Macaca fascicularis: one gene and its partner. The protein of the gene in region 2 interacts with the protein of the main gene of each other region in a pairwise test. Links are inferred from orthologs where the notes say so. Each region holds a gene or a part of one and is shown on either strand. Other genes may lie near its edges. The genes, in order: CAGE1 and MPPED2.

What was found.
Region 1: the proteins of MPPED2 (region 2) and CAGE1 interact in binary tests that used the Homo sapiens proteins (3 or more experiments, as listed by UniProt). The two-hybrid records come from large-scale screens. The link is inferred for Macaca fascicularis from reciprocal best matches to the Homo sapiens genes MPPED2 and CAGE1.

What each region holds. Positions count from the first base shown.
Region 1 is NC_088378.1:165,631,036-165,634,841, reverse strand, and holds part of CAGE1 (cancer-associated gene 1 protein homolog), read right to left. Parts: intron 1,325-3,806; coding exon 266-1,324; intron 1-265.
Region 2 is NC_088388.1:34,963,725-34,968,304, reverse strand, and holds the start of MPPED2 (metallophosphoesterase MPPED2), read right to left. Parts: upstream 2,937-4,580; 5' UTR 2,595-2,936; intron 2,546-2,594; exon of another isoform or gene 2,481-2,545; intron 1,507-2,480; exon of another isoform or gene 401-1,506; intron 1-400. UniProt on the Homo sapiens protein: Displays low metallophosphoesterase activity (in vitro). May play a role in the development of the nervous system.

The DNA of each region.
Region 1 (3,806 bases), on a different chromosome or scaffold from region 2:
ACAGGCGCACATCACCATGCATGGCAGATTGGCTGATATAAAAAATGTTTTGTAGAGATGGGGTCTCACTATGTTGCCTAAGCTGGTGTCAAACTCCAAGCCTCAAGAGATCCTCCTGCTTCAGCCTCCCAAAGTGCCGAGATCTGTTTCTTTCCTTAATAATTATTTCTGCAAACAAATATAAGTGCCACATCTAAATATGCATCACCAGACCACTAGAAACTCTTGAAAATCCGCATTAGAGATTTAGAATGTGTATCAATACCTTGGTAATATCTGACTTCATGACTTCCTCTAATTGCTCCTTTAACTGAGCTGTCTCAGATTTAGGGACATAATTTTGCTCTTCACTCCTTGCAACGTGCTGTTTTAGTTTTTTATTCTCATTTTTTACTTCGTTGATTTGCTGCTGAAGTTTTATATTCTTAGCTCTTTCATTTTCAGACATAAATTGCAAATTTTTAACCTGAGTGAGCAATTTCTCAAGTCGAGATTTCAGTTTCTGTCTTTCTTCCAGGTTTGCCTTGTCACGTTTCTGGAATTCCTCCTGTAAAGACAAGAACTCTTGCTCTTGGGTCTCTTTTTCCCGTTTCAACAAGTCCAGAGCAGAAGCTGTGACCTTTTCCTGCTCTTTTCTGAGTTGTTGTAGTCTCTTTACCTCTTCCTCTTTCTTGCTTAAGGTTTTGTCCATCTCTAAATACTGACTTACAGATTTATTTTTTTGTTGCATTTCAGTCATGTACCTTTCCTGTAAACGCACATAATTAGCCTTGATCTTCTTAAATTGAAGCTGTAACATTTCCTTGTCATTCCTGGATTCCTGAAGATGTTTTTGGGTGTTAGCTAAAATCTCTTGCAAATTCTGCAGTGTCTTTTTAGCATCATTTTTCTCTAGGATTATTTTGTATTTTTCTTCAATTAATTCTTCAACATTCTCCTTTAGCTTATCGATGACATCAATGAACACTTGCTGTTTGGTAGTCTTCATCTGTAGTTCTTTAACTCTCTTCTCTAAATACAGGTTACTACACTGGAGTTCTTGGATTCGCGCCTCCTGCTTTCTGTTAGTATGTTTTAATTTCTTCAAGATTTCATTTAAAGCCATGTCCTCTTGAACAGGTTGTAAGCTTTCAGCACTTTGCTCCATGTCAGGCATCTCACAGTTCTCCTGAGATGCTTTACTCCTCCAGGAGATGCCTGCCGAAGACCAAGTTGAGACAATTTCTGGCCTCTCCACACCCTCTGCTGTGACTTCCTTTGCATAACTGACTGACATCTCAGGAATCTCCCCATGATTCTGCATTTCTTTCGAAGGAACTGCAGTCTGTAAATTATAATAAACAAAGTAAATGTGAATGCGTAGAAAGATCATGAACTTTCAAGTCAGATAGGGCTGGCCTTGAATTCTGTTAGTAGATCCCCTGTTTGGTTTCCTCCACTATAAAGTAACGATAGTACCTACTTCCAGTAATAATGCCTATTAACAAAAGTTAATACCTATGTATTAATTGCTAAATGTTTGTACAGCACCTAACAGCACAGCAGAGCACAGGCAGTAGGTATATGACAGATATATATCCCATTTACTTTGACAAAAGGAAAATTAAACTTTTGTCCTCTTACCATTTTCTATTATGCAAACTTCCCTGCACACATATAAGATGCTTTGACTTCAAATGAATTCAGACAAATAAATCTATCAATTACCTTATAGACTGCAAGTTCTCTCTCTCTTTTTTTTTTTTTTTTACATTTTATTATTGGGCCAAAAGTTTGGATTTTTAGGGAAGGTCTCTTCTCTTTTGAATATTTTTTTTCCACATTTAGACTGTTTTCTAATTATTCTGTGACTCTTAGGAACATTAGAATGGCAGAAGAACATGCCTCATGATTGACTTTATGCTGACAGTACAGGTTTTGGGGAGGTTACAAAAGGACAGTAGGCCGGGCAAGGTAGCTCATGCCTGTAATCCCAGCACTTTGGGAGGCCGAGGTGGGTAGATCACTTGTGGTCAGGAGTTTGAGACCAGCCTGGCCAACGTGGTAAAACCCATCTCTGCCCAAAATACAAAAATTAGCCAAGCGTGGTGGCACATGCCTGTAATCCCAGCTACTCAGGAAGCTGAGTGAGGCAGAAGAATCACTTGAACATAGGAGGCGGAAGTTGCAGTGAGCTGAGATTGCACCACTGCACTCTAGCCCGGGCGACAGAGCGAGACTCTGTCTCAAAAAATAGTAATAATAAAATAAACAAAAATAAAAAAGACAGTACATTGTGGTAAGAAATGGTGAAATGAATATGACATTAAAAACCCAGGGCCAGGTGCAGTGGCTCATGCTTGTAATCCCAGCACTTTGGGAGGTTGAGGTGGGCAGATCATGAGGTCAGGAGATCAAGACCATCCTGGCCAACATGGTGAAACACCATCTCTACTAAAAATACAAAAATTAGCCGGCTGTGGCGGTGCACACCTGTAGTGCCAGCTACTCAGGAGGCTGAGGCAGGAGAATTGCTTGAACCCTGGAGGCAGAGGCTGCTGTGAGCCGAGATCATGCCACTGCACTCCAGCCTGGGCAACAGAGCGAGACTCCATCTCAAAAAACAACAAACAAACAAAAAGCAAACCCCAGGCCAGGCACAGTGGCTCATACCTGTAATCCTAACACTTTGGGAGCCCAAGGTGAGAGGATTCCTTGAGATCAGGAGTTCGAGACCAGCCTGGGTAACATAGTGAGACCCTATCTCTCCAAAAAAATATTTTAAAAATCAGTCAGGTGTGGGGGCACGTGCCTGTAGTCCTAGCTCCTTCAGAAGCTGAGGCAGGAGGATTTCTTGTGGGCCATGGTCACACTGCTCTCCAATCTGAGTAACAGAGCAAGACCTCGTATGTAAAAAATAAATAAATAAAAACCCAGTAAAAGGGAGTGGTGCGCTGTATAATTCTCTGGAATTTAGAGACAAGGACTTCTGTATTTTGTTTTTTGAGCTCATCCTTCTGCAGAACCTTGCATCTTAATGGTTTTTCATTGTTCTGGGATAAAGATAACTATCATTACTGAGACCTACAAGGCCCTAATATCTTGCTCTTGATATCTACTATGGTTTAAATGCATTCCCTAAAGTTCATGTGCCAGAAGCTTAATCCCCAATGCAACAGTGTTGGAAGATGGGGCCTAGTAAGAGGTGAATAAAAATGACTAAATGTTGTTATCGCAGGAGTGTGTTAGTTATCACAAGTGGATTTGTTACAAAAGTGAGTTGGGGGCTGTGCGGTGGCTCACACCTGTAATCTCAGCACTTTGGGAGGCCGAGGCGGGTGGATCACAAAGTCAGGAGATTGAGACCATCCTGGCTAACACTGTGAAATGCCATCTCTACTAAAAATACAAAAAATTAGCTGGGCGTGGTGGCACATGCCTGCAATCCCAGCTATTCAGAAGGGTGAAGCAGGAGAATCGCTTGAACCCAGGAGGCGGAGGTGGCAGTGAGCCAAGATGGTGCCACTGCACTGCACCCTGGGTGACAGAGCGAGAATCCATCTCAAAATAAATAAATAAATAAATAAATAAATAAATAAAAGTGAGTTCAGCCTCCACTTGCTCCCTTGATCTCACCCTCTTTTGCCCCTCCACCTCCCATCATGAAATGACAGCACAGAGACCCTTGTGTGATGTTGGCACCATGGACCTAGCCTCCAGAACCGTGAGCCAGATACATTTCTATTCATTATAAATTGCCCAGTCTGTGATATAGTTGCAGCCGTATGAAATGAACTAAAGCAGTAGCTGGCCCGTACCACCTGTCT
Region 2 (4,580 bases):
ACTGCCAAGCATTCATGCTGGTGCTAGTTTGATTTTTCTCTTTAAAAAGAAAATCATGTGAGTACATTTTGCATTTCCTAGACAGCAATCGCTTCTGTCCTTTAAGCTGTACAACTAGCAATATTCTTTTCCAGGAATCTAGTTGGAAAACCTTTTAAAGTCGCCTGGCAATAAAGGGATTAAAAGCTGAGGAATTAAATAACTGTCTCCACCTCCTAGACACCAGAAGTCCAATTTACCAAAACTTTCAAAGCAACAACTCATGACCTCTCTACCCCTGCACTGCCCAGCACAGCCTATGAGAAAAGAGCCCGCGGTTTTCTCGTTTCAACAGGAATGCTCATTTTAATCACTTGCCCCAAAATCTCCCGACCGAGCCTGGCGGGACTTTGGAACTTGCCTGCTCCAAATCCGCCAAATTTCGCTCTCTCCTCCCTCTGCCGCGCCGATCCAGTGCGTTCTTAACTCACGCCCCTACTCTTTTATGCCCACTTCCAGTTACTCATCCCTGTATCTGGGAGCGATGCCCACACGCCTTCCCGGCGGGCTTCTCCGCCAGGGTTTTTTTGGGGGATGCTGACATAAAGTTCCACGTGCTTCTGTCCACCGAGCGCCCTCCCTCCCACCGCACTTACACCTGAACTTGTCTCCAGCACTGCGGACACCCGGGTGACACATTCTTTCGGAGAGGGAGGGCAAGACTTTTCTACGGAGCCTCTGGCAACTCGTGGAGTCTATATAAGGTGGGGCGGTGGGGGGCGCGGAATTCTCTACTTTGGATTGGTTTGTTTGTTTTAAATCTAGGGTGGTGGGCAGTTGCGCGGAGCGGGGTGGGGGGGGAGGCTTTATCAGCACACACACACACACACACACACACACACACACATACACACACACACACACACACACACACACACACACACACACACACTCGCCCTGCCCTTCTAGGCTCACGGCTGGCTCTTCCCGGCTACAACTTCCCCTTCCTTCCTGGAGCACCAGCGCCTTACTCGCTCAGTCCCCCGTTGCCACCTCCGTTGCCTCCGCGGCCGCCGCTCCTGCTGGCACTGCTGGCGCTAGCGCTCGCGGCCCCGGGCTCCGCTGGACGCCTATCTTTTTTCTCTCCCTCTTCCCTAGCTCTGGGTTGATTGATGACCACCGGCGGCCAATGGCTCTGACACCACGCCATCCTCGGTCGGGCATCACAGCCCCACGTCCCCGACGTCAGCCTCCCGGGCGCGTTGGCATCCCCGAACCCACAGCGCGGAGCCCGAGCCCGGGGCCGCCGCCTCCTCCCTGCTCTGCGCCTGGGCGCTGCCAGGTTCCTTCCCCGGAACGGCTGAGAAAGGAAGGGAGGGAGCCAGAGAGCGTTGGAAGGGGGTGTGGAGGCCATGGGATCTCCCCCTCTTTTGAAATCTTTTTTCACTTAAACTTTTGCTTGTTCCCCCCCCCCCCGACCTGTTTGTGTTTGTTTGCAACATCTCAAATCAATTATACATTTTTCACGACTCGCATTTGCACTTAATTTGGGGTGTGTGTGTGAGAGGGGGGTAGTGATGTACTATTATAAATCAACTCCACTGGGGCATCCTTAATTTATTTTCTTGCTGACGGATTCCAACCCGCTCCTGAGCCTCTAGAAAAATGCCCCCTTCACCTCCTAGGCCGCAAAACCCCGTAATTCAAAGGCTTTACAAAGATAACCTTGTTACACGTAAATAGCAAGGAAACTCTTGCCTCTGTAGAGAAGAAATCCGGCGGCAACGGTTACTTTTCCTGGCTACTCGTCCCCCGTCGCCTAGCCCCGACCCCAGCTCGAGTCGCCGGGTCGCTCCGCAGGCTGCGAGCGCGGAGACCCAGGCAGCGGCGGAGAGTGAGGTTGGGGCGCGGGGACTGGGTGAGAAAGAGCCCCAAGCGAGAGCGGCGCGCGCGGGCGGCCCCAGGGGCGGCCGCGGGGTGCAGCCCGAGCACAAAGCTGCGCGGCGCCTTCCCCTAGTCACTGCACCTGGCCTCGGGCCGCCGCGGGAGACCAAGGATCGGGCCAACACAATGCACCCGGGCCTAGGCCGGGGCGGCTCGAACACATCACCCCGGGACTTTCTAGTAAACAGCTCGCTGAGCCCTCGTCCCCACCCCCATCTCCGTCGCCCGGCTTTCGCCGCAGCTTCTCGCCGATACCCCCTCCTTTCCTCCTCAGAAATCCCGGCGGAGGAGGGGGCAAAGAGGTGGGGACCCCCAGAGGTCGGGGGGCTGATGGCTGGAGGGGGTGGGGGAGAAGAGAAGAGGCGCAGGATGGGGAGTGGGAGGGAAGACAGCTCCTAAAAAAGAATTTGCTTTCGCTCAGGGGTTGAAAATCAGCCCTCCCCGGGCGCCGAATTGCCCGGGAGGCGCCCGCTCGTGCGGATGTCAGGGGCACCGGGGCAGCCCGGGTCCGCAGCCTCCGATCCCCTCGCACGCGCCTCTGACAAGGCACCTCTCACCCGGGCTCCGCTTTGTGTGTGCATTTTTTTCCCTTCCTCTCGCGCTCGGCACCAGGCTCCCGGCCGCCTCCTCCCCCTCCCCCGCCCTCCGCCTCCCTTCCCGGGGCGGATTACCTTTCCCGGGCTGCGCTCCGGGTCCCGGGGATGCCTTCAGCGCCCGGCGAGCAGGCAATCCATAGCTGAGCGGCCCGAGCTGGCTGGAGGAGCGCTGGGGGCGCGCGGGGGCGGCGAGGGGCGCGGGCGGGCCAGAACCTTCGACCCCGGAGGTCCCGCCGCAGGCTGGGGCTGGGGGCCAGGGGGCGCGGCGCTAGAGGGAGGCGGGGGGAGAAAGGACCCGAGCAGCCTCGATCTGGGGAGAGAGCGAGCGAGGGGGCGAGGAGAGGGAGCGAGGGCGCGGCGAGCCGGAGGGAGCGCGAGCGGTGCAGTGACAGGGACTGCCACTGGGGTCAAAGGAGCACAGCTCCAGGAAGCAGGGCGGCTGAGGCGCCGCTCCGTGCGCGCTCCCCGGCGGGACCCCGCGCCCCTGCACGCCTCTCCTGCAGTCCCTGCCCACTCGGACCCCCACCGGTGCCCCGAAGCCCCAGGGTTTCGAGAGGAGGAGGGAGCCGAGGGCGAGGCCCGGCAGCCTGCTGGTGCTCCCGGGTCAAGCAGGCGGCAGGAAGCTGAGCTGCAAGTTCATCATCATGAGTGTGATCTGCGTAAAAAATGATAGGGGAAGGAAGGCAGGCTACGGTGCCCCAGGAAAATAAGGGATCTTTCTCCCAAATGGTGTTCTTCTGCAAAGAGAACACCCAGCTCCCCCCACCCACCGACCTGCCAGGCTCTGTCAGGAGTCCTGGCACCGTTCCAGGACGCAGGGCTCACCGTGGGGGTAAGGGGAGCGGCTGGGACACTTCACTCAGACCTAGGAAGGCGACCTTAGGTTCCCTCCCATCTGCTGATCTGAGGCTTTCCTGGGGGAGAGCTGTGCTCCTTTTCCCCCAAGCCTTTCAACACGCCAGACACACACACACACACTCACACACTCACCTCTTTCTCTCTGCAATGTTGCTGAGAAAGAAAAGGCCAACCCAGCTGATCATTTTTTTCACCTCCAAGAATTAAGGCAGGTTCAGGACAGGAAGGTGAGGAGAGGCAAAGACTCTAATTGTTTCCATTTTCGTCTTTTGGATCAAATTTTCCCCAAAAGATAAGCACGTCAAAAGCCTTTTAAAAATCAAAGTTAGTCCAGTTTTGTCTGCTACTTTGGAAAATGGAAGAAAAGGTTTTCGGAATTGTATACAAACACCACAAGGAAAGGAAATACCGCTGAAATGCTGGAAGACAGAAAACAAGGGAGAGAGGGCTTTCAGAAAACTTGGTTGGCAGGGTTGTCTGTGAAAGATGAGGTGGCCCTGTGATGTTATGCCATTGTCATTGCTGAAAGATTGGGACAGCAACCAGATCTAATTCCTTTCTAGGAGTCAGACTGAAAGAGCTGAGCATTCTCCGAAGGGAAATCCAATGTATATGTGTGAGAGAGAGAAGTGTGCAAAGTATACTATGTGACAATCGACTAGACATCCTAGCTGAAATTATATCCCCTAAAAATAAAAAGGAGCCATTGCAACCTGGTCTGTGGCCTCTGTGCTGAGACTAATTGGTTTCCAGGGTCTGGGGAGGAAGGGAGAGAGGCTTGTAGGAGCCCCTATAAAAAAAAGATCAAACGGAATTCACTTGAAAATATTTCCTTTACAATGGGCTTTCCTGGCACTTGAATTTTAAGTAACCCATCTCTTATGCCTAGGATGAAATGAAAAGGGAAATGGTCTTACTAATGTATTTATTTTATTGTACAGCATGCCCAGAGTGTCAGTACTTGTCAAACGTGCCCGGGTGGAAAGGACAGTGTCTTTCCTTGCCCAGCACAAATCAGAACAAGTGACATTGATATTAAAGGATGCCAAAGATGGGGGTATAGGGGCACCCTTACATTTTGTTTTCTTTTGTTTTCTAGTCCATCAGCGAACACTGACTAGAATCACGTTTTTGAAGGAATGCTTGGTTTTGTTTCCCTTACTCTGTGGCTTGAGTAGTACATTCCTCATATCTTAACAGTTT